Linked DNA regions of Macaca fascicularis. The protein of the gene in region 1 purifies or fractionates together with the protein of each later gene. This does not show direct contact. Links are inferred from orthologs where the notes say so. Each region holds a gene or a part of one and is shown in the gene's direction. Other genes may lie near its edges.

Region 1 (3,520 bases):
GTTTAATTTGTAAAATGGACATTATTATATCTGTCTCAGACAGTTTTGCAATGATTAATTATAAGCCTTAAACATGTAGTGCTCTTAAATAACCAATTAAATAACCAAAACAACCAATTTTAGATTTTGCTATATTTATAATTATTAAATATTGTATATGTGTTAGTCTTTGGTTATGCCACTACTCTGTAAATTATCTCATGGAAATAGTTATCATTTAATTTTTATAGTGGTTTTACGTTCCTATGATACTAACTGTGAATATATGGCCACCCCACCCTCCCCTGCTGAGGAAGGCATTGTCATTTATATATAAATTTTTTAATTCTGAAATTCTAATAAAATATATATAATTAAAAATATATATTTTTAATTCTGAAATACCTGAGATAGGACTTTTATCAAATTTATAGAATTACTAGGTAATGGATAGAGACAACAAGCATACATTATTGTGTGTTTGAATATTTATTTAAATTCATCAGGATGTGTAGGGCAGTGAAGAGCCATGGACTTTGCTCTTGATCTCTAACAGATTTATATCCACAGTCCTTGACTTATTAGCTGTTTAACCTTAGCTAAGTTACTTAATGTTACTAAGCTGAAATTTCCATATATAGAGAATGAGAACAAAAGTATATACCTAACAGAGAATATAATAGTGAATATGAGATTCTTGGCTCATAGAATATGCTCATTAAATATTTTATATATTAATTTTTAATTACTAGCTTTATTTCACATTCTCATGGCCCTGATTTCTGTATTCTTCTGTCTATACCTTTCAAACTCTCCATTCAAGCAGTATCTTTCTAACGCTGTTAGAACATTTGATTTACCTGCTTGAAAGGGGTAAACAAGTCTGGTGCTCATCAGTTCTTCCTACTTAGGATCCAGATCACTGTTGATATTTTCTCATATCATTTATTAGTTCACATTCTTTTTTTTAATGTTTATTTTAAATTCAGGGGCACAAGTGCAAGTTTGTTTTCTTTTATTTTTATGTCTCTTATTTGTTCACTTTTTTTTTTTTTTTTTTTTTTTTTTGAGGCTGGCTGTCACTCTGTCACCCATGCTGGAGTGCAGTGGTATGATCACAGGTCACTGCAACCTCTACCTCCCCAGGCTCAGGTGATCCTTCCACCTCAGCCTTGCGAGTAGGTGGGACTACAGGCATGCGCCACCACACCTGGCTAATTTTTATATTTGTTTTTAGAGATGGGGTTTCACCATGTTGTCCAGGCTGGTCTTGAATTCCTGAGGTCAAGTGATCCTCCCATCGGGCCCTCCCAAAGTACTGGATTACAGGCGTGAGCCACCATACCCAGCCGACATTTTCTTTTTCAACTATTTTTCATATTATAGATTAATAATTTCTTTCTTTGTAAAAATTTTTACTGTCTAAGCATTTTCCAGTTTCTTTTATCCCACAACATATAATTGCTAAATGTTAATTTTATCATAAGCCTCCTTACCCTTTTCGGTCACACTCTAACTTCTTGCCTTAGTCCCAAGAAGGGACTGCTTTTCCCAGTCATAATCTGCTTAACTGTTGCTTCCGTTTTCAAATCTGTTCTGTCAAGCACGTTTCATGTCCTGCTTCAGGACATCTTGCTGTGGTCTATGCCAGATGTAATATTAAGGGCTGGTGATATAGAGGTAAGGAGACAAAGGCACTGTCCTTTAAGCAGAGCATACAGCATCTTTTTTTCAATTCATATTTTCATCATTTAAAAAAATTATTCAGTAAGTGAGTGTTTAAAAAATATGGGCCAGGTGCGGGTGCACACCTGTCATCCCAGCACTTTGGGAGGCTGAGGTGGGTGGATCACGAGGTCAAGAGATCAAGACTATCTTGGCCAACATAGTGAAACCCTGTCTCTACTAAAAATACTAAAAATTAGCAGGGGGTGGTGGTGCACACCTGCAGTCCTAGCTACTCAGGAGGCTGAGGCAGGAGAATCGCTTGAACCCGGGAGGCGGAGATTGCAATGAGTCGAGATTGCACAGATTGCACCACTGTACTGCAGCCTGGCAACAGAGCAAGATTCCATCTTAAAAAAAAAAAAAAAAAAAGATTGAGGAGGGCAAATCAGATCAGTTGTAATATAAGAATGAGTAATAAGAGATGAACTTGCATTGAAATTGAAAAAAAAAACTTTCAACTTTTATTCTACTTCAACTTTTTATTGTGCTGAGGTCTAAATCAGATAAATTTAAGAAGTGTTAAGCAGCATAGATGTGCATTTTTAGGAATGAGATTTATTCACTGAAGAAGAGCTCTGCAGGAAGGTGAAAGCTTTTCTTTAAATTCATGATACAGTTTGCTCTTTGAAGGTCTTTTAAATCTCTTTTAAGATTATCATCTTAAATATTTCATATGGTTATGTAAGCATTTTATTAATTCCTTTGTAGAACCATCAGAACCAGCTAGAAATATTTGATGGAAATGTGGCCCACATAAGTACCTGGCTGTATCAAGCTGAAGCTCTATTGGATGAAATTGAAAAGAAACCAGCAAGTAAACGGGAAGAAATTGTAAAGGTGGCAAACATAGAGACATCAGTAACACTTTTGGGGTGGAATGTTTTGTTGTCATGTTTTCTCTTGTGGAATGCTCTAAGTTACTTATGCTCTTATTCCTCCCAAGCGTTAGATTCATTAACATTTATTTTGATGGGAGAAACTGAGACAATAAGAGACAAACTCAATAAGAGACAAACTTGAATTGAAATCGAAAGACTAGTAAGAGACTTCAGCACAATCAACAAGAGTAAAAGCTATGCACATAAGATGCCAATGAGTCTTGCTTACTTCTGCATTCTCCACTGAGTGCTGCTTACTTCTGTATTCTCCAGTGACCCTTACTTACTTTTGTATTCTCCAATGAGTCTGTCTTACTTCTGTACTCTCCAATATGTCTTACATACTTCTATATTCTCCAGCGAGTCTTACCTCTGTATTCTCCAATGAGAGTTGCTTACCTCTGTGTTCTCCAATGAGCCCTATGTGAACAGCTCTTGCCTGGTTGATTATGCTGAAATCTCTTACTGGGGATCCCAGATATTTATTTAAACTACCTTTCATTCTGTAAAAGCATCACACTCATGTTTGGGTTTGATTTTTCCCATGAGATAATTTTGTGTTTTCTTATAATTAGCGTTTAGTATCTGAGCTGGATGATGCTAACCTCCAGGTTGAAAATGTCCGCGATCAAGCCCTTATTTTGATGAATGCCCGTGGAAGCTCAAGCAGGGAGCTTGTAGAACCAAAGTTAGCTGAGCTGAATAGGAACTTTGAAAAGGTGTCCCAACATATCAAAAGTGCCAAAGTGAGTAATTATGTTTTTAGGGTAAACCATTTTTCCTATGGGTATGTATCTAAATGATAGTCATACAGTATATACATAAACAATTTTTATTTTATTATTTTAATTTTATTGTTTTCTCGCTCTGTCACCCAGGCTGGAGTGCAGTGGCATGATCTCACTGTAACCCCCGCCTTCTAGGCACAAGCTATT
Region 2 (3,520 bases), on another chromosome or scaffold:
CTAACAAGTCACTCTTTATTTCTTCAATTGTATCTGCCAGAGGTTGGGAGTGAAACAGAGAGTAATGTGGATTCTGAATTTGCACGGACTCAGTTTGAGGATCTTGTTCCCTCACCAACCTCTGAAAAGGCTTTTCTAGCGCAAATCCATGCTCGAAAACCTGGGTATATTCACAGTGGAGCTACCACAAGTACCATGCGTGGCGACATGTGAGTATCTTCCGCTTGGAGGCATTTTCTCAGTAACAAAACAATCCGTAGGAGGCAATAAGAATGTAAAAGCATAATTGTTTAGGGTTTTTTTTTAACCTTCAAAAGGGGTGACATAGTTTTCTTTTCTGCCAGAGATACAGAATGGTGCTACATATAAATTCGGCATTGTAATATCTCCCCTCTTACAATTTCCAGAGAGTTATCAATAACCTAAACCAACCAGTGCCTATCAAGAGCCTGCCTTGCCCAAGGCACAGTGCTAGTTCTATACAAAATAGTATTAAAAAACTGCTGCCACCCTTTTAGGACTCAGACTACTTCAGGAGATAAATCATCCTATCTTCTGAACTTATTGTATTTGCACTTAGAGGATACCATGACATTGGAGAGGTCTCTGTTCAGAATTGGTGTAAACAACATCATATAAGTATTTGGAATTGAAATAAGTACATGTATAAAATCTCATTATAAAGAAATCCAGTTTGGTTGACTTGTTGAATATGTATACATCTGACCCTCTAAAGACTTATTTGCGAAAGTTTCCACCCAGTTCTGGAGCTTGTCAGAAACCAGCAGCATCAGTGACGTCCTGTGACCACTAGACTTTCTGTGACCCTGGATCAGCTCAAAGTAGTCAGCAGAGAAAACCAAAGCTGAGAAACAAAGGCAAAGCTGGGACAGAGCTGCAGAGCCCAACTTGGGAGGGAAAGGAGGAAAACAAAAGAAGGGAAGAAAGTGGCCCGTTAGGAGACCATGGTTCGTGGAGTTACGGGAAACGTGGGCAAAAGCTGGGGGAGGGAGCGTCTGAACGCTAAAAATACTACAGAAGGGTGGTGTTGCTTAATACGAAAAGTACTTCAGACTAGTGTATAAAAATAAACTGGCCATGTTAAAGACTCAGAGAAGAAACTAACCTGAGGCCTTTCTGGTGTCTGGCTCCCAATCCCAGCAGTGAATAAACGATCAGTAATCATGGAGAATTATCAAGAGCTGTGGTCTGAGAGTCAGCTGTGAAGCAGCAGAGAATAGGATCAAAACAAAACCATTATAATGGGACTTAACATGGCAGTACGCTGCTGCTTAATAGAGTTTGCTTTCTTGTCCTTTCTTCTGTATTCTAGAATTGTTGGATTTGTTATTCAAAATAGTGAATTAGTTGTCATCTGTTTTGTCTGGTAAATGCATATCTATTTGACTTTTTATTATTAAGCATTTATATGGCAGTTAGCTAGAATTTCCTTGTCCCAATTCTAAAGGCCAAGGCTGTTGGGGCCACCCTAATCTGCTAGCCCTGGTACGCTGAGTGGCAGTACCAGCTACCAACATGTGACTCAGGAGTTAGGGAAGGAAAGTTAACAGAGGCCTAGGCAGACCCATTTAGGCTGGCCCCAAACCTCCAAAAATAACCAGAACAAGTTGTACAGCTATAAATAAACATGAACAACGACGTTCAAGTTCCAGCCTAGAAACTTCTTCTTGACCACTTATTTCATTTTAGGGAATAATTTAATATCTCTATTGTCTAAACATGTCCTTGTGTCTTACCCTGAGAATCTTTTAGTCCTCTGATTTAGGTAGCAAGCTTACGTCCAGCCCCATGAAGAGCTTTGCATAGTCTAGGATGAATAGATGGAGACAGAGTCCCACATCAGGGAATGAAGTCATTTTTAACTATTTCAGAGTGGAATTAGATAATTAAAATGCTTTTTCTTTTTCATATTTAGAGCTAAGATCAAGAGTTATGGGTTAGTAGCCCTCCTGGCATCGACTAGCTGATGTTCTTAGACTTAATTCTGTAAAAATAAGGCATGAATGTGGTGTGCATTCATATGTGTATGTGCATGTGTGGGTAACACAAAAGAGACTAAATTAAAACCAAATGTCCTTAAGCATTACTTCACTAGAGGGCTCACTCTCCATACAGAAAGTGATCTTGGGTTCTATTTTGAAGAAGAATAAAAAGAGCCCTCTGATTGGGAAAACTTTGTATCCCCTCAAAAGATGTTTGCCATTTTTTAAATTATAGAACATTTAAAGGGCCAACCCATTTCAGTAAACCCTAGGAAAAAGAGAGATGACCTATGACCACAACTGCCATAAAAAAATTGTGTATGCAAATACCTTGATCATATATTGCTTCCAACCTCCAAAATGTTTCCAAGTTTTTCTTTAGGTATTACTAAAGAAGACATGAAAGTGACTTGGAGAACTAAGGAGAAATAAAGGTGCCAATAAACTACAGCTCACACACGAATCCCACTTGTAATTCTCTTTTAAGATTCACTCTAAAATGTCATCTGTGGTTTCTTCTCAGGGTTACGGAGGATGCAGATCCCTATGTGCGGCCTGAGGATGAAAACTACGAAAATGACTCTGTCCGGCAGCTGGAGAATGAGCTCAAGATGGAGGAATACCTGAAACAGAAGCTGCAGGATGAAGCCTATCAGGTACCGGGATCCAGGCCCACCCACCCCACCTCTTCTGCCTCAACCCCTTGGTAGCTGGGTCTTTGACATGACTTGCAGAATCAGGGCCTTCTCCTTCCTTCCACCCTCCCTTTCCAAAATATGCTGATTTTACTCCTTAATCCATGTCTTCTAGACAGTACAAATATTAAATGCTTCTTTTTTTTTTTTTTTTTTTTTTTTTTTGAGACAGAGTTTCACTCTGTCACCCAGGCTGGAGTGCAGTGGTGTGATCTTGGCTCACTGCAACCTCTGCCTCCCTGGTTTAAGCAATTCTCCTGCCTCAGCCTCCCCAGTTGCTGGGACTACAGGTGCACATCACTACGCCCAGCTAATTTCTGTATTTTTAGTAGAGACGAGGTTTCACCATATTGGCCAGGCTGGTCTCGAACTCCTGACCTCGTGATCCGCCCACCTCAGCCTTCCAAAGTGCTGGGATTACAAGTGTGAGCCACTGCACCCACTTCTTATAACTGTCACTCACCATGTATTCTTTTAAATTCCGCCATAGAAAGTGATAAGTGGCCTTCTTATATTGGAAAATAACATGGTAACTAACAGTCCAAACTCTTTCAGGCCCATTAAGAAAGATGCTTTTTCTCATAATTATTTTTAAATGGATGCAAAGAGCAGGGCACAAGAAAATTGAATAATCATAAACCCATCACCTCCCTTGAATTATTTGCCCTCAGCCTTCCTCATTGCCCACCTCATGCCAAGTGTAAGTAGGAGAATGGCAAACCTCATGGAGAAATGTTGGGGGAACTGCAGGCCTGTGTTCAGCAAGGTGTGGACGGACAGATTTTCAGATGTACTGGAGTATGTTAGCCACCTGAAAATTCA

The links. Proteins that work in one complex are often made in the same cells at the same time.
Region 2: the proteins of UTRN (region 1) and DTNA purify together in Homo sapiens (affinity purification with mass spectrometry; 3 studies listed by BioGRID and IntAct, with this or other methods). This does not show direct contact. The link is inferred for Macaca fascicularis from reciprocal best matches to the Homo sapiens genes UTRN and DTNA.

What each region holds. Positions count from the first base shown.
Region 1 is NC_088378.1:48,724,578-48,728,097, forward strand, and holds part of UTRN (utrophin), read left to right. Parts: intron 1-2,415; coding exon 2,416-2,544; intron 2,545-3,160; coding exon 3,161-3,331; intron 3,332-3,520.
Region 2 is NC_088392.1:54,951,754-54,955,273, reverse strand, and holds part of DTNA (dystrobrevin alpha), read left to right. Parts: intron 1-40; coding exon 41-209; intron 210-1,126; exon of another isoform or gene 1,127-1,236; intron 1,237-2,526; coding exon 2,527-2,659; intron 2,660-3,520. UniProt on the Homo sapiens protein: May be involved in the formation and stability of synapses as well as being involved in the clustering of nicotinic acetylcholine receptors.